4 linked regions of the Drosophila melanogaster genome follow. The protein of the gene in region 1 interacts with the protein of each later gene in a pairwise test. Each region holds a gene or a part of one and is shown in the gene's direction. Other genes may lie near its edges.

Region 1 (9,784 bases):
TTGTTCGGCCTTAATGCATTTCGCCGATATTCGGCTTTCGTTTTGCGAGGACACAAAAAGAATGCGGGAAAAAAGCCCATCCGAACCCAACCCATCCCAACCCGGTATCTGTATCTGCATCTGTGCATCTTTATCTGTGCGTATTTATTTTGGTTTTACGGCATGTATGTAATTACCCGGGAACCGAGTAAAGCAGGCAGAAAAGACAGAGAAATGGAGTGTGTTTCGTATTCTTTGGCCGGTCTCTTCTCCGTCGCGCGTCTTATCATTATTTCCGAGTGTGTATTGTGCGCTTTCTGATTGCTCTGCCCCCTTTTAACCTTCGTATTTAAGAAATTTCTTAGCCCATTACGATTTCACTCAATACGGCGTATGATTTTTGTAGGCCTTCCAACAAAAAATTACATGTTTCACTTTCTCTGGCGCCCGAATAGTCCCCCCCTTCGAAAACAGAAAAATAACAAGAACCGCGTCGAAGAACCAAAAGATAAATGCTTAGACATCGTCTGCCCCTCTCTATTTTGTTTCGAAATATCTTTTCGGGGTTTCTGTTTTTGTTTTCCCCACATCAATCAGAGAATGCTTCGTTCTTTCCATTTCTCTTGTGGGCAAGCATTGAAAAGGGAAATTTCTTTAGCCCAATTAAATGAAAAGAAACCAAATCAGGTTATTCCATGAATTTTGAGCTTATTTCTGGTTCTGCATGTTTGTTTGGCACTGATCGTTCTCTTTGAAATTTTATTTCGCCACAAGACTTAAATGCATTATACAAAAATTGTTTTTGGGAAATACACATTTTCAAATAAACAAATTCTATATATATGCAAGTTGAAGTAATTGTTAATTGGGGTTCTAAGTAATATTCACTTAAGCAAAGCTCTTATACTCTTATACTCTATTATTGACAAACCTAAATTGCCATCCAACTCTAAGTTCTTAAGTTGTCACAAAAAGTTGTCATTTTATGAACATATACAATTTATTTATTAAAGCTGTACTTACGCTTATCGCTCCTGTTTCGCTTTCTGGTTTTGTTGAATTTTTTCATTCAGAATTTGCTACGCAATTTACGCGTTTAATTTGTTGCTGCCTCTGTTCGCCGCACTCGTTTTTCTGTTATTTCACACACAATTTTTTTTATTTAATTGCACACATAATGAACAATATTAAATGCTATATTCGTATGTTTGTGCGTTGAAGACACGCACTCAGCCAATTGAAAATTGTATTTGCGGTTGGGTTTCAATACAACAAATTTATCAAGCACTCACTGAAAATGGAATTGGCACTTTAATTTTTTGTTAAAATGGTCTGAGGATCTTAACAATGATGTATTTATTGATTAAGTGTGGTTTTAATGAACTTCAAAAACGAGATTATTTAATATGTTATTAGTTTTATTCGTTTTCGTACAAGTTTCTTTAGGTTTTTGATCAGACAAATTTGTCAACCAGTTTTTTTTTTTTTAATATTTTTATAGTGTGCGAAAATATTTGTATTGAGCGTTTAGAAATTTAATAATTTTTTTCTGTGACTTGCACGACGAAAATGTGTGGATTCAACTGGGTTCTTGGACACAGGTATCTTTCAGGGAATATTGGAGGTATTGGGAACCGAAAACGAAACCGATTCGGAGCGGAGCGGAACCGAAAAGTCGAGCGACGCGTGCACTTACAGCGACGTCTGAGCAGCAAAAACTCGAGAATAACCAAAGTGCGGCTCAATTTATACGAGGAGTCGAAAAACACAGACCAGAAGATACATTTACAGATGCAGATACAGATACGCGTTCTCTTTGTGTTAGTGTATCTCAAAGATACTTCTAACCGTCACTCTCTTACGCTCTCTCTTCGCTGTGGGGGTGGTCTGTCTCCGCTGTTATCGTTATTGCCGCTCTCTCTGCGCGCTCTGTGTGTTTTGGTTATAAAAGTGTAGTAGATTTTTGGCATTTATCTGTTTTTGTTTTATTTGCATATGTTCAATATGCACGACCCACATTGTTGTTGGTGTTGTTGTTGTTGTCTGATCGCGGCGTATAGAAATAATACGTATACACATGTGTATATATACACCGAATGTACATATTATCTCTCTCGCCCCCCACTCGCACTCACACACACACACTCTCACGCACCGCACACATACAGTTGCACCGCCTGAGTTCCGCTGCCCGTCGGCACAGTCCGCACACGGTAACAATTCGAATACGAATACGCAAAACGGTCTGGCGAACTGAAAACAGCCAAAACTTTTCGCCTGCGCCGACGTCGACGTCGGCAGCGCAGCTGTTTGGAGCTGTTGGGGCTCTGTTAGGCCCCCACGCTGTTAGGGCTCTGTTAGTTCGGCTGCTCTCTCTGTTTGTTATCAGTGGCGTGCGCTCTTTTATCAAATTGGAAAGGGGATTTTGGAGATCAGACAGATCGACCTGGGTTAAACTTTCAGCATACCGGAATATTAGAATACATTACGTTTATAAGGGAATAATTGAAGTGGTTTTGATAGAAGTACCAATTCTTTCATAGAAAGACCTTTATTTTGATTGAAATTCGACAAGTTTGACTTTCTCTTAGCTTGGCTTAGTGTTTTTTAACTTACGAATCACATGTAGTACACAATATTTATTGTTGCATATGTACAATAAAATACATTTTCTGCAAATGACTCAACCAAGATTTTTCGTCTGGGTGGGGTGGGTAATATAAAAAAGTGAAGAGAAGTGATGGATATTCTAAGTCTATGATTCGATTGATTAATTTCTTATTATGAGCTATACATTATTTTCACTAAGGCATGAGGAACAGCTTAAAGCCTGAAAGTTTTGCATTTCAAAGAAAAGTGTTTATGATGAGGAATTTTGGTGGTTTAATGTTCGTTACATTAATGCTCGTTACATTTTAGTTAGTTCCAGCGAAGTACTAAAAAGGAATACTTTTTGCAAAACGTGCTAAATAGTTTCTATAAGTTGCTTTGTGTGTTTACCAAGTGATTTTTGCGATTAAGGGTTATCTCTTAGGTTATGCATCTGCTGTCTGTCGGTGCAACTGACTTTACAATATAGTCTACAGTCTTGGAGGCTAATGGAATTCAGTTTGCGAAATTCCTCGAGTAACTCTCTGGTCGCCTATTAATATTCATATGTGCAAAGTACGTATCAATTGCATATTCGGCGCAAGGTCGTCTGCCAAGCGGCCAGATAGATAGGCAAACTGTCAGATACGCGTACTCATGCAAAGTCTGTGCGCAATAATCAAGCAAATTGAGTGCAACGCAGGCGATGGCGCAGCCGTATCTATTGGCTACTCTTTTGGCAAACTCCCATCGATATCGGCTCGATTCGCAGCTAGACGGCTAATTACGTGACATGTTAGACGCGAAAACAAGTTAAACACGCTCGTTCGATTTGTGTAATTAATTGCAGGCCGAGACGAGCGAGAGCTCAAAAACAAATTCACCTCGAAATGTGCATTGAACTTTTGCGGTTGCTTTTCTCGCCGCCGCCGGATGAATGTTGTTTTCCCTTTTCGGTGGCTCGCTTTTTTTGTAACCAATTCTAGTTGCAATCCGCTGCTGATAACCCGCAGATGAACCCATGGGTGTTGGAGCTTCCACATTGAAGGGGGTTACGCATTCTGAGTGGGCTTGTTGGTGGGTGGGATGGGGCACGAGCAGCTGATGCAGCTGATGTGTGTGTGTCAATGTTTCAGCTTGTAAACAAACGGCAAGCAAATAATGACAAAGTCGACAACGAAACTCCAAAAGTGTTCCTTATTGTTTGTTGTATTGACTACATCGCTGGGCTTATCGCTAACCGTTGTCAGATGGAATAAACATTCACATTTATATGTGTTGCACACAATGTGGTGTGGTATGTATGTGCAGTGGGGCTTCCTTATGACGAACTTGTATATTACATATATTCCTATAAATATTAGGTATTTTTATTGCTAATAAAATAAAAAGTAGAAAAAGCAAAAGCTTGCCATACAATTACTTTTACTAATTCTTATTTCTTTAAGCGATTTCCCTAATTGTTGTTAATTTTTAATGAGCTTGATATTTTACTACTGAAAGGGGAATTGGATGGGGAAATGTTCTTATTTAATCTTGACTGAAAGCAGGAAGCACGCTTATGAATTGGATGAGTTTGAAGCGAATAGAACGGATCAAAAGTCGGAGCTGGCCTATAATGTGTGTCAGTGGTGATAAGCAAATGCGGGGGGTGGGAAAACTATTGTATAAGATCTGAACGGAGTCACTCGATTCTACTCCTCGATCGAATACAGTTTGCATTCGTTATAAGGGTACTTGCCTCTGCCACTCCGAGTCGCCCCATTCCCCGAGTGTGCCTGCCATGACTAATTAAGTAACCAAAAAAGTATGAAAAGAAGGCAAAAAGCTGCTCAAATTCTCAGCATTAAAACGTGCCGACAACTTTGTAAAGGCTGCCAAAAATGCACATTTTTATTTATATTCGCACACAAGTTGTTGGGACATGCTTTTTTGGAGTTGGAATCGATGCGAAGGGTAACTTAGCTGACACGTGAGATTTGAATTTAGCATTTGGGATAAGTGGAAAATGAGAATTATCTTGAAAGTATCTTTATTCGGATACTATTTTAATATGCATTTGATTTTTGTCAGACTAACCATAAAGATTAATCTTTAAATATGAATTAATTAGTAGGTAATAGTAACTAACAGAATAAGTACAACAAGATTTCTTAAGCTATAAGAAATGTAAATATTTAAAGATAATACGTATGTTTAAAAGAGTTAGAAATAAATTCGAAATGAATGTGAATAGATGCTTTTTATAGTCTAGCCAATAATTTGTTAATTATTTCTTAAATAGTGAATTTGCAATTGAAAGTTCCAACCATCATATTAGAGTACCAGTGGGTGTGTTTTAAGGGGCTGAAAGTCGAATTCCTGCCACATGGAGTTTCGATTCCTGGACTCTTCTGCCCGTGTGAATCATGAGCATTAAGCATAAAACCGACATTTAGCTGATTGATCTTAATAAGAATTTTTGCGGCGGGGCGGGGCATTCGGGCGGAGGATGGCTAACGGATCCGTTGGGACGGGTCAATAACATTGTGCGGATGCCTCCTTCTGATTCTCCCCCATATGCATCCCCATATGGATCCACCGATGTTGAGTCCCTGAATTTGAGGGCGTTGCTGGGCTGCGCCTGCGCAACATAACAAACTTTGTGTTTGTTTCCCCCACTCGATGGCGTTTCTTTAATAACTCAGAGTCGAAGTCAGAAATTTTTGGAAGCGAGTAGGAGCTGGGGGGTTCCCTTGTCGGAAATCTGAGTTTGCTTTGCTGAGTTATGTTGCATAGGGTTCTTTCATCCGACTTGGTGCGCGTTTGTATCTCCCAGTATCTTGCGATATAGATATATCTGCGATTTGCACCCAGAACGGATGTCTGTGCTCGATTGTTAAATTGAAATTTGTCGCCAAAAACCAGCAGAATTTGCAAAGCAAATTTCCGACCGAAGTGTCTGGCCTGTTGCATATTTCATATGTTTTGATTCTTGTCTAAAGCTACAGCTTTTTGGCGATTCCTCTGCAGATTTATGCGCAAGTGCTTAATCGAGGCAAGGATACAATAGAGGGTGGAAAAACTGTGCCAAAAACAGCAGTTTTCATTTGAAATCTTCGATAAAATGCAAGACTTCAAGAATTTCAGATTCTACGGTTTTTATTTTTATTATATACTATCAAATGAGGGTATTTTCAAGTAATTATTTCTGATTTATGCGGGTAACCATATTTTTTCTAAGAATATTTAGTGCAAACAAACAAAAAGCCCATAAATCAATTCACTTTTATTTGACTTTTCGAGTGCATTTGATTGTTGCTCTCGGGGTGAGCAAATTGCGCAATATCTACGTCGATTTTTGGCCGTCTAGCAGGCAAATTAAATCAAGCTGCACAGCCGAACACGAAATATATAACCTGATTTCGATGTCTGCAATTCAAATTAAATGCAATTAAACCGAAATTGATAGAAACAAAATCGAACGAATCCAGCAAGCTCTGCGTCTGCTTCTCCATTTTTTTTCCACGATGGCACTTGACAGCTCCTCCTTCTTTTCTGTTCTGATTGCCTTTCCTTCGTCCTTTAGACATCTCAAATTTCGTCTAGCCGAAGTCTACGCTTCTAAGGGGCTTATAAAAAAAAGTATATATAAAAAAGAACGAGACAGAAAAAGGCCCTGGACTTCTGGTTTGGGTTTGGGGTTCGCCTGTCTGCTCCCTGTCTGCTGCGTGGTTCCTTTGTGCTTGGCTTAGATGCTAGTCGGGTTTGGACCTTTTTTTTATGTTGTTTGGGTTAGTCTGCCGAAATTCTGGGTCTTTGTTTTGATTTCGCATTTTGATATCATCTTTCGGCATGTGCAAAGGGGTCGGAGGGGTGTGAGGGAATGTCGCTCTCAAAGCCGAATTTTGTATATATTATATGCGGGATTTATAGAGCTGGCAGTTAGTAGCGAGTCTGGTTGATGCAAGCCAAATTAAATAAATAATTAAATTATACATTTACAAGTATGGAGTTTCCTTGCCTATTCATAATTATTATTTATATTTAATACATTATTAATCTTTTACTGTTTTTATTATCCCTGCTGATTCACTACACAAGAATGCTGTGCTATTTTTGTAAAATAATATTATACATAGTTGTATAAAATTTATTTATATGTTTAAGGTTCCACATAATTTTTCGTACTACAAAAAACCCAATTAAGTTCTTGTTTTGTTTGGTATAGTAGACATACAATGGCTAAATTAAAATTAAAAATTAAAATTAATTAAAATCAACATTTTCAAAGGCCTTGTTATCTGAAGTACCACAATTACATTGTACCCTTTTATAGCCTTTTAACTATTGTCATTAACTATATCAGTGATAACAATTTTATGTATTTGTATTAATCTCTCATTTCAACTACTATCTATCGTTACTAACAGTTTTCTGCCAAAACGATTTTAACTTTTAATTTGATTTGACTTTAATTATTAGGCAAAGTATCATTGGAATCTCTTGGATGAACATCATTATGGTATTTAAAGCTCTTGATTTATCAGATTTCATTTCTTTGTATTAGAAACGTAATCAATGTGAGTTATTTTTATCATTTTTATTTATTAAAAATTTTAAAATTATTATTATTAAAATATATGTATATATTTGATCCGCAGATGTTTTCGCTCATCTCTGGCGAAAAATTACTCTTCCTCAATCTTTTGGCTGCCGAAAAAGTAGCCAGACGAATGTCCACATGTGCCGGGTATGTTGTATATAGTATCTGATGTCTGGACTTTTATTGTATGGCTGACCTTGAATTTATGGAAATTGCATAAGTGGGAAGAAGTTTGTCATATTAAGAAATATACTGGAAGCATAGAAAGCCGAAGGCAGTGATGGTGACATAAACGACCAGACCTTGGCATTGTGTTGAAGGACTGTGAATCGAATTATTCGAGGAAGTTGCTTGAATTATGGCTCAAGGGGGTACTTTGAATTTATGAGTATTCAGGATATTAAGAATGTCTTTTTTTTCGCCGGCCAGCACCATCCATCCATCTTCCACACCCCGAAAACCAAACGAAATCCGCTTCCTGCTGCCAAATAATTTACAACTTGCGAATGCGATGCACAGGCTATGGGAAGAAAACAAATAATGATCAGTCGCACATAATGCATGCATATATCCATGGGCATATCGATAACCCTTATCAAGTGTGCGGCATCGCGGCCAAAAATATACAAATTATGCTTACCAAAAGGCAGAGAAAACATAAATCAATGGTTTTGGAATACTCTAACCAAGACAGCAATGTATGAAACTTCAAACATTTTTCCTTATTTCCAAATTTACTTAAGAGATATTAAGATAAGTATACAAGAAGTGCAAATTTGTTGTACCTACTTAAATATTCATATGCATACATGTATGTACATACATATATGGTTATTTGCGTGTGGTTGGTCGCCTCAAGTGATGGGCGTGGCACTTTCAACTCTGGTTCAACCCATACAATCATGAAAACTCTGACCAGATCTTGCCAAAAATGAGCCCACCTTGAACCTGAGTTTATCAAATTGCAGTCATTTTGCTTGTGGTTTTTATAGTACTTTCAAATAACTGAGATTAGTTGGTCAGTATCGTTACAAAAAAAAGGGTAAAAGTGATCGACTTTTTCACTTTCCGCCAATTTGAGGATATTTGCAGAGATTTGAGTGTTGCATGATTCATAATCGAACATTTATATCATAAAAAAGTAAACAGTTCAGTTGCTTATTTATTACGCAGAATTGCCTTAAGAGTTCAATTAACCATTAAATATTTTTAGAGGTGAAACAACGTTTGCCCTCACTTAATCGACAAAATTTGAACTAATTCGAATAAAATTAAGAGTCAGAACGAATTCACGAGTGGCTAAATTATTGTTTAAAATGACCAAGGGCGTGAGGATTTGCAACGATGGATTGCCTGGTTTGCCGAATGAAAGGCCATATTCCCGAAGAACTTTAGATACGCGGCAAAAGACTCAGAAGATGTCCTCCAGGCCATCTAGGAAACCATTGCAGTCTCTACAAACTGTCGGTCGGAATACGAGTTCCAGCCTGAAGCGCATAGGAAGTCCGATCTCCGAGGAAGAATTTGGTGTCCTGGTGCAGCAGGATTGTAAGGCAGAGCAGCATCACACCGATCGCCAAAACCTGGCGGACATAATCCTTATGCAGGCCCGTCGCATCGAGAAGCAGCAGCGGGAGATGAAAAGAATAAAGGCGCACTATGAGCGCCAGGTGTCCACCATCAAGAACAATGCCATCATGCTGGAGTCGCATCTGCAAAAGGTGCTGGCCAGTGTCGAAAGGGATCGGGCCAAGCGGATTGGCCACCACTGCCAGGACATGCTCGGTGCCGTGGAGAAGCTGCAAAGGAGCGACATCCAAGTGAAGCCGCAATCTTCGGCCAACCAATTGCTGATCCAGTATCTTCACTCCAAGAAAATTTCGCATTCGACCAAGAAGTCCAATGAAAACACAAGTAGGTACAGGAATATGTTGTGAATCGTATTCTTGTGTGTACATTGTGGTTTCACTGGGTTTTGTGGTCAGCTTAAATTAGCATATATGTGTATTAATAGAAGTACAAGTTATTATAAAATAAAATAATGGCAACAATGAATTTATTTTATTTTACTAAGTTAATTCTCAACAAGGACGGAGTTGGGCACAATCATTATCTGTTCTATTCCTCGTCCTCCTCCGAGGCAGTTACATCCACGATCGCGTTAGACATGCTCTGTTGTATCTTTTGCTGGACATTGGCGTCCTGGACCAGGTGATCTGGCTGGATGTAGCACAAGTTGGCGCAGCCGAGCACCGGGCATCGGATGCCAATGCGGTCCATTATGATCGGCATCACCGAGTCGCGGTCGTAGATGTGACCGCACATTTTGTTGCGCATGGGGTTCTTTATCAGGGCCTTGGACCAGGGATCGTAGAACGAGAAGACCTCGCTGCCGGAGTCTTCCATAATAAGGTCCTCATCATAGGCGGTGCCATTCGCTTGATCATTGACTTCCGCACCCGCCTGACCAGCTGCTGATTCAACTGCTTTTACGAAGTTCTTGAACTCGTGTAGATTCTTGACATTGATGCGCTTCTGCTCCACCGCTTTGGAGCGTTCCTTCCAGACTTCCTCGAACTCCTCGATGGTGGCGCTAGAGTTTTTGACCTGATTCATAGCCTTGTTGAGCGA
Region 2 (4,928 bases), on another chromosome or scaffold:
CTGGCCATGTGCAGCTCGAGAAATTTTCTCACAGTCGCCAGAAAAATTGTAACGGCCCGTTGTTCAGCACACTCTCAGCACGCAGTGCACTGCACACACACACTTCCTGCCGCAGCCAGCGTTCCTCAAACCGGCCACGTATATTGTTTATATAGTTAACGAATGCGATACATTTAATCTTTAGTGTGTGTCAATTTGCCGTACAGTCATTTAGTTTGCATGTCCCTCGTCGATCCATCGAACAATCATCCCTTTTTCTGGGACCTGGGTCCCACGATGATGATGTCCCGACGTGAGCAGGAATACCATACGCGTATATGTATGCCACTTAGCGATGGACGATCCCAACCGATGCCATCCGAAACGAAACCCAGGGCCCAAGTGTTCAACAGAAGCTACAATTCAGCATTCATAATTGACAAGAGCAGGAGCGAGGGAGAGGGCGATATGTGTAGGGCCCACGATGGACAAGAAAAAATTAAATAAAATAAAGGGCAGGTGGTAGTTTTTTCAGCACTACCCGTGACTCGCACTAGCAGCTCGGTCAGATTTACAGTGGTTCGAATGGAACGAAAATTGGTTGAAAACAATTTAGGGTCTTGTCACAATCTTTAGATGCTTTTAGCTACAAACTACAAAATGGTTTCTTTTTTTAGAAATTTTTTAAACATCATAACCTGACAAGAACATCTTTTCCAAATATTTCTTTATTTCACCCATCTGGGTACAGTAATCCCATACATAGATATTCTGTAAACTGCAACCTTCACGAACCTTAATGTTTTTCAAGACTCAGGTTCCCACTCACCGTCGCAGCTAACAAAATTATCCGTAGCAAGTAGAAAACACCTTTCACAAAAGTCCCTATACTCGGACTATATATGCCTAGAAAAACCTCTAGGAACAAATGTACCTTTCCAACATAGCAGATAGTTTAGTAAAAATTCTTTACAAGTAGAAACACATCGAGAAATCCATAAACACTTACTCTAAAACCTGCAAGTCGTAAAATTGCACGCATGTTCCGTTTGGTAAAACCCCAAAAATCACATTCGAAAACTCACATTCCCACGACTTTGAATAGAGGTTCTCAAATTAACCGTAGCAAGTTGAGAACAGGCAACAAAAAATCCGTAAGATACTGATTTCCAAACCTGCGAGTCCCAAAATTGCACACATCTTCGCCTTGGAAAACCCCATTTCCGACATCCCAAAACTCGCATTCCCACGATCCCTACAGAAATTGCTAAAACTTTGTCTAGCAAGTAGATAACAGTATGCGTAAATTCCGTAAACCTTAAATTTCACGTAGTTGGAAAAGCCTTGAAGAATTCATTCAAGCAAGGCACCCTCAAAATTCCCGCATGTGTTTCATCGGTTTGGCCCACTGTGCCATGTGCATAAGGGCTCGGAACTCGGAGCTCGGACTCGGGACTCGCACACGGGCTACCTCCGATTATAACTTATAACACCAACGAGCGAGAAAAATCTTGTGGGAAACTTGAGGGCAAAGTGTTTCCCACGATTCGAATGTCAGTGGAAAGGAAAACAGAGAAGCAGCATGTGCAACCACCGTCGCACCACCACCACTGCACTATCGCATCTTCATCCCCTGCCGAGACTCACTTACACCGAACACCAGTGGCCATAGCAATAGTACTGAGAACATATTTAAAGTTCTAGATAATGTTTATATTTTCAAAATCACTACTATTAAGAAGTGTGCTAATTTAATTTTTTAGGTGTAAACGTATAACATTATGTTAATTTCTTTTTGTTTAATAAAACGACATTTAAGTGCTTTAAGGGAAACCCATTTGAAGTAATTGTTAAAAACGTAACGTACTTCTTAGGTATATAACAACAAATTTGTATATTCGCTCGAAGAACTATAGCTGCTTTAAACACATTTCTCATACTATTTTTACCGCAGGTGTGTTCCAAACTTGTTTGTGGAGAAAAACCCACCACCGAAAATGCAGGCGAGAGGATCGTGTCCCAGTGACTGAGTAAAAGTAGTTTGCTCCGCAGGTGGTGGTTCTTCGGAGGCTCCGCAGCTCTCTCTTCTCTCTTTCTCCGAGCAGCGTGCGCTGAGCACGAGACGCTCTCGCGGCGGCACGTGCAGCTATAAAAGCAGCGGTAACCGGAGACGAATGCAACATTTCGAACGCAATCGTCGTGCAGTCAACATCTCAGGATAACCTCCTCCGAAAGATCGAAGAAGTTCTTCAACAAGTCGTTCTTCCATTTACCTAAACGCAACAAATAAACAAAACAAACACACAATGGCCACCAAATACGAGATGTCGAAAACCTATCAGTACCGCAAGGTGATGAAGCCCTTGCTGGAGCGGAAGCGTCGTGCCAGGATCAACAAGTGCCTGGACGAGCTCAAGGATCTGATGGCCGAGTGCGTTGCTCAGACTGGCGATGCCAAATTCGAGAAGGCCGACATCCTGGAAGTCACCGTGCAGCATCTCCGCAAGCTGAAAGAGTCTAAGAAGCATGTTCCGGCCAATCCCGAACAGAGTTTCCGTGCTGGATACATCCGGGCAGCCAACGAAGTGTCCCGCGCCCTGGCCTCCCTTCCCCGAGTGGATGTGGCTTTTGGAACCACACTGATGACCCATCTGGGCATGCGTCTCAACCAACTGGAGCAGCCCATGGAACAACCGCAAGCCGTCAACACTCCACTCAGTATCGTCTGTGGATCCAGCTCTAGCTCCAGCACCTACTCCAGTGCCAGCTCCTGCTCCTCCATCAGTCCCGTTTCCAGTGGATATGCCAGCGACAACGAGTCTCTGCTCCAGATCAGCAGCCCCGGACAGGTGTGGCGTCCCTGGTAAACAAAGATCTACTTGGAAGGACTGAATTCCCGACGGGCAATCACGCAATTGGAACCGCAGCTTTAGAAAAAATGCTTTACAATGATCCTCATTTATTTGTTACGTTACCAAGTTTTAGGTTTCTAAGTTAAGTCTGTGATAGGGCACGCTTTATTAACTTTTGTCTTAAATCAATCGAGCAGAAGTCTGTTTTTTACTCTACATATATACAAATGTTTACCAGCTAAGAGATCTCAAGAACACAATATGAAAAGATACAAAATGAAAAACTTAAATACAAATCAAAATATGAAATGAAATTATACAAGAATCTTATTATTTGGGGAATCTATTTTACAGCACAATCCAATAGGGGATATTGAACTTCAGTATTTGTCTTTAAATTCCAATAGGAAGAAGATTCCATTGAAAATATTTAATGTTGGTATGCGCGAACTTTAAGGTCCAATATAATAAAACGATCGTGTGCACTAGCTTATTTAGGACACGTGTAAAAAAATGGACTTCCCATAAATTATGTTCATTATCTTAAAGCCCATCATTATCCTAAACGAGCTATATTAATAACAAGTTTCAATAACAGTTAAACATAATAGCAAAACATGCTCCACTAATGTGCACTTAGTTGTCAAGCATGCATTTAATAATAAAAAGGAATTTAATTTCATATTTTTAATGGTCGTTATTTTTCATTTGCACGATGTGTTTACTTATATTCTATTTCAGTAACTATTTTGTCAACAGACTATGAAATGAAAGTATTTGACATCCTTTAGCACAATACAATACATTGTTATAAACCTTAAATGCGGCATTATAATTTTTCCACCAATAAAAGGTCAATAAGAATGGTCAAGAAACATACAAATGAGTTTCAGCACGCGTCTCGATTACTTATCACACATTATACCCTATTATATTTAATCCCTTAAAATTTATTCTTTTACAATTAATCAATTAAATTACATCACATATTGAGGGTTGCAATAGCATTACGTAAAATCATAGGTAAGTGTATTCAATTCCAAATTCATACCACATTATTAACCTCTGACACCCAAAATACTATAAGAAGTGAGAGTATCCCTCCCCATTACAATAATCAATGACGTTGTTTTCCACCCATAAAATGTCAATATTAAGAACCCTCAAGATTTGTAAGGGAGATATACAAATCCATCTCAATTATTAAGTGAGGAAGTAGCATACCCTAGGCGGTTGCAAGGGAGGGACACAAATCCCATAGGTAGGCATCGATGTCAGAGGTCGATTAGTTTCCTAATAGAAACAGAGTTTATAAAAGTTAACTCGAAAGTGAAATTTACTCAATGGAATTCTAATACACCATACTTGCATGCGAAACCCAAGATTCCGAAACCAAAAGCACTTAATATTAGCTAATTAAAAATGGGTTTAGAAAGATACGCCAGACATTATAAGTTCCTATTAACTAAATTCAAAGAAAACTTTTGTATCCTATGATTACTTTAACAATCTTATTAGGATGAGCCACACATTGAACAAACCACATTTACCATAAGACAAGATATTTGAAAAGTGCACATCAATTAACCGGTGAAAAATTACTAATTACCAATTAGGGGGTTGCAGGAAGTTAACTATGTGCATCCCATAGGTAGACATTCCGGCACAAGGCCCACCTCACCTCAGCCTGGGCATTGAGTACTCAACCTCGGCCACGAGTGTGGCACGCGGGGCACACTTTCTGCGCCCGTTTGACCCACGTCCCCCTGCCAACCACCCAAAAACCCGAGATCAGACAGCCCAAACGATGGAACGATCGAACAACCAAGGCGACCCGGCACGAAGCCAATATGCCACATCCACTAATTGTGTCCAATAAACACTCGTCGACGGGGCACTGTGGGAACGGAAAGAGGAGATCTCAGAGTTCGCAGTTCGGAGGTCGGAGCAGGAGTAGGGGCTTATACAATCATCGTCTGCTGGCATTGATGAAACAATAAGCGAGTAGATGGCACGGCAGGATAACAATGCCAGAGCGGCCCACGCACAAGCAGTTCGGATCCCCTGCCCCTGCTCATCATGCTTCGATCCCATGTA
Region 3 (6,475 bases), on another chromosome or scaffold:
AATTGCTTGTATAATATTTCATAAAATGTACAGTTTTTAAATTTCATAAAATTAATTCATAATAATTAAAGAGAAAGGAGCAGTTTGGTAAGCAGTATATATAAAGTAACTTGGAGGTTCAGTGCTTCACGGAAGAGCTCAATGTCCAGCTCGGCCTCCACTCCCGCCTGAAGTTCCACGGCAAAATTCTGCAAAAGATTAGTGATGAGAGGATCTATTTCTGCCTCTGGGCTCTGGCATCTCTAGCTATTGGCTACTCACGTTGAGGACATCCTTGATCAGCGCCTTGTCCGTGGACATCTTGGCCCGCTGGATAACGCCCACCTCCTGCCCGATCCACGTCAGGAAGATGAACTTTTTGTGCTTGGACATCTCGTCACCCATCTGGTTGCGTATGTAGCCAGCTGGATCCCCTAATCGGTCTTCGGACCTGACCACGGCTCTCCAGAACAACGACCTGAAGTGCATACTCACCAGGATGAATGGCAAGATAAACTTGCTGCTATCCGCATTTGAGACTTAACCGACATAACCGTCACAAGAGAGACCAAGAGCCTAGTTTCTGAACATTCAGCCCTTAACAAGATGATAGAGTTGTACGAAGGGGTCACTAGCGAGCACCGCTTGACGAGCATTGCTACCCAGACTAAAGTACAAAAGCCTACCAAAAACGCTTCTCACAATGCGCAGGTGTCCAAGGGACAAGTGCCCAAAGTTCTGGCGCTCAAACCGCACGACTGGTAGAGGAGAAGGGAAGGCGACATCCAGATCAAACGAGTCCAATACAGGCAGCTACGCATCTGTCGCCAAGAATGCTAGCACGAGTGCATATTGGACCAAGGTGAAGCCTATGCGCCCGCGTAAAAAGCCTGAGGCACGGATCGTGAAGAAGACGGGTGAGGCTTGGTACGCAGAGATGCTCCGGAAACTAAGATCGGACCCGAGCCTTAGCGAACTGGGCAGAAGAATTCGGAGAACTCAGCTAGATGAGCTGTTGCTCGAAGTAGTGGGAAAAGCCTCGGGAAGCTTTCCCAAGTATAAAAGCGATCTAGAGGCGACGGTCAATGATTTGGCATCTGTGCGGCAGCTCAAAGAATAGCACTATCCTGCAGTGGACTGGACGAGGATACGATAGTAGAGGAGCATCAACAGGCCCTTGGGAGTAGAGCTGCACTGTTTTGCAGACGATGCGGCAATTACAGCAGTCGCCAAAACAATTGCAGAGTTGCAGGACAAATGTAACACCACGATTGGAGCTGCCGTCCACTGGAAAGCCGGGCTAGCAATAGCGGCTCGCAAGACCGAAGCAGTAAGTACTAAGCAGCAGGAAAAAGGTGGAGAATATGCTAGTCCTCTGTCAATGCGACACAGGTGACCTCCCAAGAGTCCCTCAAGTACCTGGGTGCTATGATAGAACCACGCGAGTTACGGCAGCAAGAATGCATCAGTCACAGTTTCTTCATTGGCTAGACTGGTGCCCAACATCGGTGGTCCAAGCTATCTGGCCAGGAAACTGGCTTCGCTGCTGTACGCTGCACCAATCTGTAGCAATGCTACAAGCAGGGGTTCATACCTGAAAGGAGCCATGGCCCTCAGGCTCATTAGAGGATTCAGGACAATATGTGAAGACGCGGCACTAACTCTGGCAGGCCGCCAATTGATCGGAGATCAAGGCTCTCGGCCTAAAGCGGGGTGGCGCTTACCGACGAGTGGCTGTTGGGTGAGTGGCAGAACAGGTGGTCTTACCAGCTCATTCCTGAGTCGGCGGTTTGGGCAGAGTGCCAACACAAATGCTTGGACTACCACCTAACCCAGTTTCACACGGACCATGGCTGCATTCGGGCCTATCTACGTCGATTGTTCTGCGTCATTTGTGAGAAAACAGAAGAGCATGTGCTAATGCACTGCTCCAGGTTTGCGATGGAGAGGGAGCAGCTAAAGACGAAGTCAGGTGCTCCGTTCAGCCCTAGTGGCTTGTTCGCAGCTATATTGGCAAAGAGCGAGGCATGGGAGCTGGGACACAGTCTAATCATTAAAATGATTAAACGTGTCCGATCAGACGAGATGGCCAACAGAGAAGGTGGCTAAACCCGAACAGGTGTCCTGTGTGGTGGCGAGTGAAGAATACTACCTGAGCGTTCCCGGCTTGTCGTAAAAAGCGACTAAAGGGTGAAAAGAGGCGCACTCATGGCCTACACTGAAGGAAGAGAGTGTGAAGCCAAATTCTGTTCATCGAAGTCATACAATGGCAGTCCCGGTGAGCGTTCAAGGACTGAAGAGCACACGGAGGTTTTTGTTTTAGTATGTGGTGTTGTTTTTGTTGTTGCGCAGGTATCAGTGTTACCAGACCAGACGTCGGCTAGCACCTAAGCGCGATTGTTCTCGGTTGTGCGAAGGGGCACACTGTGAATTAGTGACTCGTAATGTCAGTGGATAAAACGTATTATGTAGCTTAATATATCATTGACAGTTCTGAGAATTTTCAATCTTCTACAAACTAATGTTAAGACATGCAAAAATTGTTTTTGTAAATGAACAAGTAGTTTAATAGTATTAATCGTATATTTGTATAAGTGTTAGTATATTGCTGTTTCTTTTTTACATTTTATATCCAGAATAACATAGATGTTTTTAAGCGATAGTTGCTATCGATAGTGCTGGACGATAGTTTGCCACCCCAAGTGTCACCAGTGAAACGCCAGTCCTATTTTTTTTTTACGAACGTAGTTCGAATAGTCAGGATAATTTGAATCTGGTTGTTTTTACTTCACACATAGCTTAGGAAAAGGTGTGAAAAGCGTATACTGTGAGCCATGGACATCGATTTGAGTCTGGACGAGATTATAGAGCGGAAGCGCGGGCAACGCGGCTATCGTCCCCTCGACAGAAAGTTGTAAGTACATTTACAGGACAGCCGAAAAAATAGAATGTCACTCAATGCGTTTTCCATTGCAGCAATGCGAACTTCTCCAAGCCGCGCCAGCTGCTGAACAAGCCTTTTTTCAAGCCATCGGGTGCCCGAGGATCTCACTCTGATACGCCGGCAAAGCGCACCTTCGATGCCAGAAACACGATCGCCGCGAAGACACGGGCCAAGATAGCCGATGCCCGGGATCTGATCAACAAGAGCGTGCGCGACTCGGGCATCGATGCCCGCCAGCTGTTGCTGGAGCGAAAGAAGGCCCGTTCGGCGGGCCCAATACTTATTGATGACGAAGAAGAGTCGTTTGAGCCATCACATCGCGCACGCGGAAAGGGAGTGCACATCGGTCAGTTTGGTCACCGCCTTAGCATGTCAAACCATGCGGACGGCACCATTCAGGCGAAATGGGACTCGGACGACGGGGTCGTTGAACTGGGTAACCACATGTTGTCCGGCTTGCGTCGAACCTTTGACCCCAGATCCCATAAGCCGGGCAAACCCTTTGCTCCACGACGCTATATTGATCTTGATAATATGCAGGACCTCGAGGATGGTTAGTTAGTGCCTTTCTCTGCCAAGCCGTTCCTAAAAAGCACTCTTCTACTTTCAGAGGAAATATCTCGCACACTGCACTTAGGGCAAATGAAGCAAGCGTCGCCACGCTACTCAATTGGTGGGCTCGACCTGAACCGCGGCGACGACGTGGAGATGTCCATGGCCCCACTAAATAACAAAATAGATAACAATGCATTCTCCATTTACGAGGCGGCCCGCAATCGCATTGAGCGTCCTTCGCTGACCAACCGACTCGTAGTTGGACGCTCAAATACCACCAAGGAGCCTCTCGAGCGCCGCCACCGCGACACAGCAAGCACAAGTAAACTCCCAGAATCGCTGCGGTCTCGTCTGTTTGTCGGTAAGAGGGATCCTCACATTTCTCATGGCATCTACGCCAACGAGAACCGGAGAAAGGCTGTTGGTGGCGGTGGTGCTAGGGATAGCGATAGCGGTACTGATAGTGATGGTGATGCAGCTGCTCCATCGAAGAACAAGCGCCGTTCGCCATCCCCATTGTCGCTGCGTACGTCGAACACAAAGGATGGATACCGCCTGCTGGTGAGCAATCTGCATACTAACGTGACTACTGCGGATATTCGCGAGCTTTTTAGCGACATCGGCCCAGTGTACGACGCTCGTGTGGTGCGTCCCGGCACCGCCGAAGTTATTTACAAGTCACTGGAACATGCCGAGAAGGCCGTAGATACCTATCACCATCGTCAGTTCGATGACCAGCCCATGCACTGTGTGCTGGTTAATCCGCACTCCTCCCGTCGCTCGGTGCACAAAGCCAGGTGAGTGATATGCTTTAAAGATACCAAGCAGTATTGTTCAACGTTCTCGGCCGTAGCTCTCGCACCGTGACCACAAACTCGTCTGGCGTGGAGGTGGACATCGATGCACTTCACTCGGTACTCTTCAGGGTCCGCTAGGAAGCGAGAGGCAGAGCCCGGGAACTAAAGCAACTAGATAATTTTTCTCATCATTTTCATCATCTCCGTAGTATTTAGTTCAACAACGTAGTCCATTTTCATTTCGCGCTTATTAAATTCGAATCGATCCATCCAGCGTATGTTCAGAAAACCAGACTAGTTTAAACGAGAACATTTCTTTACTATAGAAACTTGAATTTTCTAATGCAAATTCTGGCATATCTGTCCACTTCAGTATTCAGTATTAGGTGGCTAAAATTTTTGTCTTATCATCAAAGTAATTCATCAGTCCCACTATATACACAATTAAATGTATGGCATTGATAATGATTTTGCATCCGCTCTTGAAATTTGGTATTGAAAACTTTTCTTTTACCTTTTTTGAATGACACTATGGATTATGATTATACGATAAATAAGAGGACCCAGTAATGTTACAATTGCTTGTATAATATTTCATAAAATGTACAGTTTTTAAATTTCATAAAATTAATTCATAATAATTAAAGAGAAAGGAGCAGTTTGGTAAGCAGTTAAGAGTTGCAAAAAAAAATGTATATGTAAAGTAACTTGGAGGCCGCTTAGTTATCCCGGATGCCCGTTCCGTAGTTGGCGCCGCCGGCACGGTTCAGTGCTTCACGGAAGAGCTCAATGTCCAGCTCGGCCTCCACTCCCGCCTGAAGTTCCACGGCAAAATTCTGCAAGAGATTAGAGATGAGAGGATCTATTTCTGCCTCTGGGCTCTGGCATCTCTAGCTATTGGCTACTCACGTTGAGGACATCCTTGATCAGCGCCTTGTCCGTGGACATCTTGGCCCTCTGGATGACGCCCACCTCCTGCCCGATCCACGTCAGGAAGATGAACTTTTTGCGCTTGGACATCTCGTCACCCATCTGGATGCGTATGTAGCCAAAGGCGCGCTCCGAGTCGCCGAACTGCTGTCGGAATTCCTCAAAGCACTGACCGCGCGCATGTACAATAATCTGGGCGCCATCGAACTTGAATACCGCCCACTCGGTGTCTGTCAGATCGGAGCGTACATCCTCGTAGGCCTCGCGAATCGAGTCCTTCTCCAGCGACGTGGCCAGCGGCATCTGCGAAAGAGCAAGGGGGAAGAGGATTATAAGCAAGCGAAGAGGGGAACTATAAGCAACTTTCAGACGGAAGTATATATCTTAATCATGTATTCCAAGTCCGAATCGTTTCGCCAAGGCGAATGGATCATCCGCTTTGGCCCATCGATAGCGAAATGTATTGTATGTACTCAATGCGGGGCCAAGTACTCTTGACGGCGCCATCTATGAGTCAGATTTAAGCGGTGCTTTCGCTTTCGATGGTTATATTACATTCAATTCGACTTGTTTCCGTGTCAGGCAACCTCAAGTCGGCCAGGGGAATAGGCACGCCATTGCATCGCCCACTTGCATTACGTTCGGGCAGATTCACGGAAAGCAATTTGTTGCCGCTTTAGTGCTTTATAAACATAATACCAGCGGGCCAGCGGAAAAGTAGCCAATGTAAATATGTACATATTTCGAAGAAAAAATAAAGGCTTTATTATGATAACATACTGGAACATACCCGCATATTAAATTACAGCATTTTTGATAATGATATCAGCACACACATATGAGGGTTCAGGGTTCTGGTTCAAAGCCCAAAAATATGATGATTTAAAAATATCGATATGTAAATGAATTTAAATTGCTTGATAAGTTCGAATGGCTTGATAGTGAAATGTAAAAAACCAAGTCTCAATACGATTTTGGTTAGCTAAAGATTAATTTTAATTGTGGTTTATTAAGTGATCTTTGGGGTAGCATTATGTGCACAAAGTTAGGCTCAGCTTAGATGCGTGGAAAGCGTGTAAAGCGATTGGATCGATGGTTTTTGATACGAGTATACTTGTAGTACGGATCGGAAAACTACCCTTTCACGTAGTGCACTCTTATTGTCTTAAGCGGATCGCCGCATTAAAATCAATTTACGCGTGACAATTTTCAATCAGCAGCCGGCGGAAAGCAGGTCAGAGATTTGATAAGTGACTTGGGGTCGTCGGAA
Region 4 (9,548 bases), on another chromosome or scaffold:
TAAAACAACAAATTCCGAAATCGGAATTAATTCGAACAATTGAACAACTGCCAAAAACTAGAACGTATGTGAAGCGTGTGTGTCGTACATACCAAGAGATAAGGACAAAAAACGGTTAAAAGAAAGCTTTCAAGAAAGAGAGTATAGAAAATAAATTTTACTAAAGTAACAAAAAAAAAACAACGAAACGCGTGTGCGTGTGCAACAAAAAAGTGTATGTCAAATAAGAAAATGTGGCTCCAGCGATAACGGTACTCCAATGTGCTCTCTCGCACGCACACAGAAGCATCCCGCACACGTACACCACCACCACTGCCAAAAAGCAAATCCTGCCCAACAGCCGCACCTATAAAAGTGGGCGTGGGTTGACCCAAGTTACTGTAACAAATTTGCAAAAAGTGATGCATGCTAATTGTTTAAACAAATCCCAGCTTTCCTAATCAAATACCTTTGCGAATTCCAATACACACCTATACACACATACCCACGCAGTGATTGGTGTGGAGAGGAAGAAGGAAAGGAAGCCAAAGGACAGGATAGAAAAGCAAGAGGAAGAACGAAACAGCATCGGCGCGTTGGAGAAATGTGCGGGAAGAGAAGATTGAAAATAAACGTGTAGTAGAGAATTTTTGAGACACTCACACGCACACACTCCTCCCACACTCTTTCTCTCTGTCTCTCCGTCTATACCGCTTGCCGCCTACACACACACATACTTAAGTAGACGCACGAGAGTTCTCGTATCGCGAAAAGCGTGTGCTTTGTTGTTGCCTCTCCCACTCCCTCGCTCTAAGAGGCGCTCCCGTGTTGTTTTTGTTGTTATTGCCGCTGAGCAAATGGCAGACCCTCTAAGCGGGTGCCGCTGGTGATAACATGTCGTAATGGCCAGAGAGGTAAGTGCAAACGTGCTAAAAGCAAAGCAAAGCCGGCAACTACGGCTTAACCGTTTTAGTTTTCCCGATCACCACGGTACCGCAAGTTACTTTGCCAAAATCAGCTGTTCTCACTTCATCACCATCCCCCATCATTCACATCTGCAACCAACGGTGTTAGCCTCTCCCAACATTAAAACAGTTAACCCTATGTCATATTTTTCCAAAGAAGTTTAACCCAACACTACAACTTAATAATAAAAATGCTGCGTGTAACAAATAATTATTCTCTGTAGGAATGAATTTTTTAATTAAGCAGTAGAAACAAAATAATCAAAAATAATACTAGGTAATAGATTTTTTTTAATAACATGCAATTTGAACAAAGTAAAATTTATAATATATTTTAATATTTCTTTGACTTGGTCTTTGTAGATATTTTGTTCTTTACGTGGTCAGCTGAACGAAAGATAGGTTCTTTATAGAGCAACACAACAGGATGCATGAATAAATCAACTTCTAGAGAAGATTAGGCAAATTTTTATTTTGCTGCTTGAGTATGGGTGCAATGGATACGATTCATGCCTGGCCTAAACTACAGGCACTCTGCTCCATCTATGTGAATTTTTCATATGACAACCTTTGGCGAGTGTATCTAGCAAGGCGTATCGCTGCGGATGCTCCGCACTCGCGTCCGCATCCGCTAGAGAAACCTATTAAGCCTGTGGCCCGCATTAGTCTCTTTGTGTGCGTGTCCCTCAAGCTCCTGCTCTGCATATGTGTGTGTGTTTGTGCATGTTTTATGCAGTTCCTTCGTTTCGTTTTGCTTTGCGGGTGAGTGAATAGCTTTGACCCAAATAACTGAGGTAATACTTACGCCTCACAGATGTGCCACTCCCCCAACGCCCTCCTTTCCCGCCGCCTCCATCCCACGTGTGGCTGCAACTGTTGTTCTTCTTCCTCTTCTCGCGCCCCCTTTGAAAGGAATTTCGCTCTCTGGCCTTTCCAAAATTGTTGCTTTGAGAGGATGTCTCCAAAAATAAATTAGTTGCGAATTCCCAAAGCGCTGGAATTCCTTTAAGAGCTGATAAAAATGCAGCCGAGATGGCTTTCAGTTGGCAGTTGATCTGGCATTATTTAGGATAAACAAAACAACTTTATCTCTCCTTCTTCTTACTGCAATTAAAAATCTCGGCCAGCAGCAATTACAGGAGTTTTAGTGCTCTGTTATCCATTCACATTTACAGCTGGCAATGCTTTTGCGAGAGGTAGAGAGCTTCATATAAAAGTGCATCACTCTCTCTCTGTCTCACCCTTTTTATTAAAAGACTTCAATGTTTAATGCTAGAGTTTAAATGTCGAGCAAGATCAGGTCTAAAAGAAAGCTAAATATTTTCCTGGGGCACACAATCCAATAGCAACACTATTAATTGAACGCCGTTGATTGGAAGTAAATGTTTACAAAATCAAACTGATGGGATCTTATGAAATGCTGGTAAAGCGTTTCGAGGGAGAAGGTGCGCGCGCTTTGGCGTCCTGATTATATCACATTGATGCAAATGTAGGCCAAAGCACGACGAAATATCTTTACCTGTTAAAACATCGAAAATTATGGAAAAAAAGGTAGTAAATGGGAAATAGTGGGGTGGATAAAACAAATACGGTTTAATTGGGGACCTAAAAACTGAAGGCATTAAATTGACTAGATAGTAGTAACGGGATTTCTACCCCCACTCCTCCACCTGTCCTACTCGCTCTCGCAAAGCTTTGTGCTGCATTTCACCTCGTTCTCACTGCACTTCTCTCGCGCTTATGCCTCGTGCTCATTTCAAGCGCTGTTAACGCGCTGCAAAAACGCACCCAGCCCCAAAAGTCAAAGAAGAAGCAGCAGCAGAAGCAGCAGCTGCTACCGTAGTGAAATCCGATGCAGCATCTCGTCGGGAAAACTCACAGTTTGCTCTGCCAGGCTGCCAGGCACACAGGCAGCTAAGGACGCTGCTTTGGCCCGTGGAAACACCACGTTCCCACTGGGTGCTATAACTAAACAAATCAAGCGTTTTTCTACAAAATCAAGTTTCTAAAAACGAGCTATAATTAAGTCTAATAACTGGGACTCAGCATCAAATGAAAATGAAAACTCGGCGGTTTCACGGGCAAAAGGGCGCTGCAGGCGCGTAGTATCCGTAAAGTGAAAGTGCGAAGGTCAACCCGCCCTGACCTGCCCCAAAAATACGAATGCGAATGCGAATGCGAAGTACGAGCAGTGAAAAGCGAAATTCTAGGCACTTCAACTCTGCCAGTATTTACAACAAACTAAAGTAACCAAATAACGTGGACGATAACATTTATACCAGAAGCTGTATTTTGTGCAAAGTGCGTTTTTTTTTTCGTGACCCCCTTAACAATTTTTGTAATTACGAATTTTCCCCCTGAACGCAAGGCATTTATGACTCCAACAATAAGCAATAAGCTTTAATTTTTGTAGAACTTTTGGTAAAAGCATCCGCAACTCCGGATTTTGTAAGGCGTACATCGGTTACGGGTTTATATAACGGATTTTTAAAACGGACATGGATTACCAGAGCTTGGAGCTCCAAGTGTAAGACGACCTTGGAAGCGACGAGGCCAACCATTGCAAGCAAGCCAGCAGAGCCAGCGCAGAGACTCGGCCTAAAAGTGGCTGGCAGCAGCAGCACCACCAACAGCACCACCAGCACCACCATGTGGTCCAACGCCCTGTGCACGCTGGGCGTGACGAAGCCGCTCTGCAACTGTCTGAGCATCAGACAAGTGGCAGCCGCAGCTGCGGCGGCGGCCCAGGCCACGCAGGGCGTAGCTGCCTCTGCCGCGGCGGCGGGTGGGGCCGGAGTGGGTGGTGGGGCCATCACAACGGGGCCCTCGTCGTCGGTCACAAACGGCGGACTGTCCGCAATGGTAATAGTTTCGCTTTGCGACCCATACTTATTCAGTGTTTAGCTTTCATCGACTGCAAATGTCCTTCATTTCTAGATCAAACTCAATCTATTCCGTCCTTTATCCAGTTTGGTTTCCAATTCCACCTCCAATTCTAAATACCTCCTCAAATGCATTTCACACTGGTTAATCGAATAGCTTGTTGGGCAATACTGCTCAATAACTAGTTTAATGGTTTTTGGAAATTCATTTGAAATTATTCAACCTGTTGGTGGTTGGTTTGCCTCTTTTCTTGCATGAAATGAAATATCTTACTATTTTACTTAGGGAAGATAAAGCATCACCTTTAGCGTATGTTATACATTTTCTTTAGGTACTATTACCCACTTGTTTTCTAAAGTTTCCCCTTTTTTTAAAGCTAAGTCACACAATCTTAAAGTGCTACGATATTCAACCAGTTCTCCAACAATTGTTTTACGGCATAATATGATTTATCGAGCCTTAGAACTGGCAGTGCTCGCTGTTTATAGTATTATCAGTTTCATAATTTATAATAGCCAGCACATCCCCGACCCGCTGCACTCCCTCGGTGCCATATGGTGCTGGGGTGCAGCAACTGACCTATCCCAAGAGGAAAATCGGTGCGATGGTTTGGATGGAGAGGGATGAGGCGGCGAGTAGAGCACACAAAACACTGGCCAGAGCGAGGGAAATGAAATATTTTTATGAAAAGTTTCTGCTTGTTTTCGGTGCGGAGGAATAAGCAAAATGTCAACATGAATTTTTTGTAATTTTTCAAACATTTTATTTTGGGTGAACGGGCGGGGAATGAACTGGGGGATCGGTGGATCGGGGGATTTGGGGGCTTGGTTGGCCGAAGAGAGATATTTGTATATGGCTCGTGTGCTGCACTCGTTACTGGGTCACTGGAGCGCCACACTCATGTCCTTGCAATACATTAAACATTGCAGCTTTCGTCCTGCTCGGCTGGCTGGCTGGCTGGCTGGTCGTTGTTGTTGTTGCCTGCAACTGTTAGCCAACAGCTGTGCGCGCTGTTAGCCAAAAGGATTCGTTTTCAATTTTCTTTGGCCCTTTTTATATGTACATATATGTTTCCATTTTCAAGCATTAGCACTTGCATTTGCTTTATTTCGAATGTGAGGGCCGTGGATTTATTTCAACTTTTATTCCATAAGATATCTACAATTAATATGAGCAGTGCAGCAGTTGTGGCCTTGACATTTGCGCCCTTTTTGGCCAAGCCAGAGAAGCCCAATTAGCGGGCTGAGGAAATTATGACACAGTCCGGGCCTGCTGCCACACCCACTTGTCAGTTTTTCGTGCGCAGCGTTTCACAGGTGTCACGCCCATCCTGCACCCTGCACCCTGCATCCCACATCCCACATCCCCATCCTCCCACATCTCAGCTTTCACTTTCCCTTCCTTCGCCAGCAGTTGGAATTGTAATTCGTAAAACGCAACTAATCCGAATTTCTCTTCGCAGGAGTCTCGCGGCAAGAGACCACTGAAAATCTGGGACAGCTGGCGGAATGTGCGCAAGGGCGTCGTAGTTGGGACCTTCGAGGAGCTCTTGGTCCGCGGCAAGGATAAGCTGGGGGTTCCTGCTTCAGAACCGGTGCGCGTTGTTCTGGAGTGTGATGGAACCCAAATCGAGGATGGCGAATACTTTCGCACCCTGGCCAACAATACGGTGCTGCTGCTGTTAAGGCAGGGCGAGCGCTGGTATCCCACTGGCGTCGATGTCATAAAGGCTGGTGGGTGTAATAAGTTCACTCCCATCTCGGGATCAGTACTGGCCACGGGAAATTTAATTATAGATTTAGACCTGGTCAGAGGAAACATTCATTTAGATTCAATATTAAATTCAAATAAGTTATCACTGCGTAAATTATGAGCCTTACCCTTATAGCTAAATATTTGCAAAAAGTCTATTTCGATATTTGATCAAAGACTCTTTCAATTTCATTCAAATTGAATAACTAATTCATAGAGCAAGCATTTACTTTAGTACTTAGCACAACTTTCAATGTGGCTTGTTTGAATTGATTTCAAGGTCAATTGTTTGCGAATGAATTTAAATTCTTTTTATAGTTGGCTGAACTTATTCAATTTCTAAAGAACAGAAATTTAAACAATTCTTTGGACTATATCCTCTGTTTTGAGACACATTGGATCTTGAATGCAATAAATTTCAGCATGTTTTTAATGCGTTGGCAAGCTATTAAGATTTCCGCTGCTAGCATTGAATTGTAAACAAAAACGTAAGACGTAAAAATTAAACAAAAGAAAAATGCTATTTAGAGATTTAAATGACAGTCATTACAATTTCAAGAACATGGTCGTCCGATTCTTATACAAGTCTATTTAAGTGAATATCGTATTAGCTATTTTTTGAGGCGATAGTTGACCTTCTCATCATTCCGTACTGAACTTCAGTTGGGATTTCTCAGTGGTTCGGATCTCATTCTATTATTTTTCTTACAGCCATATCAGCTATACCGAAAATCGTCTGTGAGACGATTCATGCGCTGGAGTTGCACGATGAGACACCGTCGTGGAAGATCATGGATAACAAAGGGCGTGTCACGGTCGTTCTGCACTGGGATCAGCGGCAGGGTGGAGGAAGCGGCGGCGGAGGAGGAGGCGGTGGCGCCGGCGGCGGAGTGGGGAGCATGTGCTCCGGCCTGGGCAGCAGCAATGGGCTGCTGTCGTCCGATAAGTACTCGCCCTCAAAGAAGGGCCTCTCCGCGCAGAGTTCGCTGGACAACAAGTCGGTGTCGTCGCAGTCCTCCCAGCCGCGCTATGCCAGCCCTCAAATAACGGTGATCAGCGACGACGGACCGGCGAGCATATACCATCCCGGTGGCGTTGTTCTGCCGCCAGGAGTTGTGATACCCGGCGGCAGCAGGCGACTCTCCAAGCAGGGAAGCTCCTTCGACAGCACCGTAGGCGTGGGTGTGGGAGCTGTCCATGTGCACACGCCGGAATGCGCCCACCACGCCCACACGCCCAGCAGGGCGGGCAGTCCCAGCACCACCGAGTGCGACTTCCACTGCTGTGCGCTGCACGAGGAGGGGCGCAAGATCGCTGTGCACAAGAGCGTGGCCACGTCGCCCATCCAGGACGGAAGCAGCAGTCCCCAGCCGCAGTCGGCACCATCGGTTATGGATCCTATGCTGGGCGGCAGCGGTGGCGGCGGAAGCGGCAGCATGCAACGCCGCTCCTCGGGCGCCAAGGGCCATGTGCGATTCCTGGACATCGCTCCCGAGCGGGATAGCTCCGAGAGCGAAACGGAGAACACGGTGATGGAGGACGACAAGACGACGACGGAGAAGTTTCTGCTGCTGATCGACCAGTTGTCGGTGGACCAGAAGCGTCACCTCAGCATCAAGGACATCGGCATCATACTGGAACGCCTCAACTCCAAGATCCTTGACGTGGAGCGATTGGATCGCGAGTCCGAGTCAGACGACTGCTACAACTGGACGATAAAGGCGACAATACGCGGCGATGCGCTGCGCGAACTGGGCGTCATTTACAATGGCAATTACTATGCCATCTCTGAGCATCCTGGCTACAAGGAGGAGCTAGAGGAGAACGGCGAGGAGGTCGAGGAGGAGGAGGAAGAGGATGAGGAGGACAGAATTTAGAGTGCCAATGACAGGCAGACGGGCAAACCCACAGGTTCATGACTGTCCCACGTTGGGCGCCACAGAAGGTATCAATAAACTAGCGCATTTTACAGAAACCAAAACGAAAAAATGGAAAAACCCAAAATAAGAGTAGCCCAGCAGCTCGACACAAGAACACACACACAAACACACACCAACATGCATACATATATACATATATACTTATATAAAATAATTACGAGAATATAATAATGCAAGTCGCACATTGTACAATAGTGAAGTAAGCGTAAACGTGAATTATAAAAAGGCGAAAGCAAAGCAGCCACACACCCAGAAACACATACACCCATGCCCACAACAACAGCAACAAGCGCGAACCACTTAAGAGCAGTTTTTGTAGCATTTATCCAATATTCTCATTGACGGGGACCGACGTTACCATAAATCAGAAGCATGGCTGGTTGGAGACGTCGAAGAATATCACTGCACCGTCTGCAGCCAGCTTAACGAATTCTGAATTCGCAAAATTCAATTCAAACGCCCCAAAATTTAGCCCACAGATCAGTTGCAAGCCCCCAAATCAGCCATCCTTGTGTTGTTATCGTTGTTGTACAATAGATGTTCCGTGTTCCGTTGTGATTGTGTGCCAAAATAGCCTTATTTAGTTGGATAGCCCCACAAACAGACTGCCACTCGAGTCAGGAAATCTAATCTAACCCCAAAGACTATAAGTTGTGAAAGAGATATAGATAACAGAGACTATAAAATGTTGTTGCCAGAAAAACGATGATGACGCGGGGTCTAATTGTAGTTGGTCGGTCTCTCTTTTCCTATGTAGTGAGTTCCTCATTTTAATTTGCTTAACGAACCCCCAACCCGCATTTGTATAGTTCCTGGACAGCGTAACTCTCTGTTAGTGGCCTATTCTTTGTTAATCTTGTTGCATTTCTGCCCCCAAAGAAATTCCGGAAATCATCCGCATCAGCATGTAAAACTGCCGTTATTTGTAGTGTTGTCAAACGTTCAACAAATCGCGCACAATGTTAAAATTAAACACAGAGAATAGAAACAATAAGCAAGACGCTCGATGATGCTCGATGCTCGCCAAATGCCTGACGACAGACTAAAAAATTATGTGTAGTAGATAAAGACCGCCCCCGCATGGCCGACAGAATCAGCCGTAGATCCATTGGGAGTATGTATCAGAAGACATCACACGATCGCAATCGAAATCGTAATTGAAAAATGCGTAAAAGCGAAAACACTGCCAACATCGCCATTAGCATTCGCACCTGCATCCACATTCGTTGGGTTAGGCTTTCGACTTCCAGAACTTTGACTGTTCCATACGGGTATCAAGCAATCGGGATAAATTGAGAGAGCACTGGGTTGGAGGATTCTTGGCAAGGACATGGAAGGTTTAGGCGATGGATGTGCCAACGTAATGAATATAATACTATCGAAAGGAAGCACGTACGTTTTAGTGTGGGTAAACTAACCAATGAACCTAAACATTCTCTGAATTGTTTGAATATATTATGCTCCTAGTTTATACTTTATAGTTGATATTTGAAAATTATTATAACATCATTGTTCGACTTGTTTTGTTAATGTCACTTAGACTTGTTTTTACTGCAGACTTGAGTTCTTATTGTTAAGGCATCTCCCACTTGGGATTGCTATTCAGAAAGGGTCGTCATAGGTAGTCCATTGCAAACGTAGCTGGTCTACGTTGCTAGTCACTGTGTCCTGGATTAGATCTGTGTGCATTCGATTTAGAAACTTCCGCTGCGCAATTAGATCCTAAGACCTTATGCTGAGATCAGCCAACACTGTACTCCCATCTAACCAAAACTAACTTAAATGTAAAACGGAATCGAGAAGTGGAATAAGAAAGCGACTTTTAACAGACATTTGTCCAAGGCACAAAACTAAAGCATTGAAGCGAAAAAAGATTAAATGAAAACCTAGTATGTATAAATGAAAATTGAAATTGATAATTGATTGATAACGATAATAAATGAAAAGTTAGTGGAGAGCGGAGCAGGCGATGAAGAAGAACGTTAAACGAGAACTCACAATTAGCGAGACGAAAAAAAAATTCATTAGC

Evidence for each region.
Region 2: the proteins of CG6333 (region 1) and E(spl)m7-HLH interact in a two-hybrid assay, tested with the Drosophila melanogaster proteins (one large-scale study listed by BioGRID).
Region 3: the proteins of CG6333 (region 1) and CG18259 interact in a two-hybrid assay, tested with the Drosophila melanogaster proteins (one large-scale study listed by BioGRID).
Region 4: the proteins of CG6333 (region 1) and Drep2 interact in a two-hybrid assay, tested with the Drosophila melanogaster proteins (one large-scale study listed by BioGRID).

The regions. Positions count from the first base shown.
Region 1 is NT_037436.4:17,479,551-17,489,334, reverse strand, and holds CG6333 (uncharacterized protein), read left to right. Parts: upstream 1-3,104; 5' UTR 3,105-3,144; intron 3,145-7,032; 5' UTR 7,033-7,130; intron 7,131-7,211; 5' UTR 7,212-8,469; coding exon 8,470-9,090; 3' UTR 9,091-9,206; downstream 9,207-9,784. Other genes in the region: qjt (quijote), read right to left, coding at 9,272-9,784.
Region 2 is NT_033777.3:26,034,878-26,039,805, forward strand, and holds E(spl)m7-HLH (enhancer of split m7, helix-loop-helix), read left to right. Parts: upstream 1-2,160; 5' UTR 2,161-2,285; coding exon 2,286-2,846; 3' UTR 2,847-3,142; downstream 3,143-4,928. UniProt on the Drosophila melanogaster protein: Participates in the control of cell fate choice by uncommitted neuroectodermal cells in the embryo. Transcriptional repressor. Binds DNA on N-box motifs: 5'-CACNAG-3'.
Region 3 is NC_004354.4:18,779,714-18,786,188, reverse strand, and holds CG18259 (uncharacterized protein), read left to right. Parts: upstream 1-2,694; 5' UTR 2,695-2,813; coding exon 2,814-2,893; intron 2,894-2,955; coding exon 2,956-3,476; intron 3,477-3,533; coding exon 3,534-4,275; intron 4,276-4,331; coding exon 4,332-4,413; 3' UTR 4,414-4,924; downstream 4,925-6,475. Other genes in the region: CG6891 (uncharacterized protein), read right to left, coding at 4,995-5,111, 5,185-5,508.
Region 4 is NT_033778.4:9,291,977-9,301,524, forward strand, and holds the start of Drep2 (DNA fragmentation factor-related protein 2), read left to right. Parts: upstream 1-2,818; 5' UTR 2,819-3,593; coding exon 3,594-3,806; intron 3,807-5,289; coding exon 5,290-5,560; intron 5,561-6,290; coding exon 6,291-7,456; 3' UTR 7,457-9,548.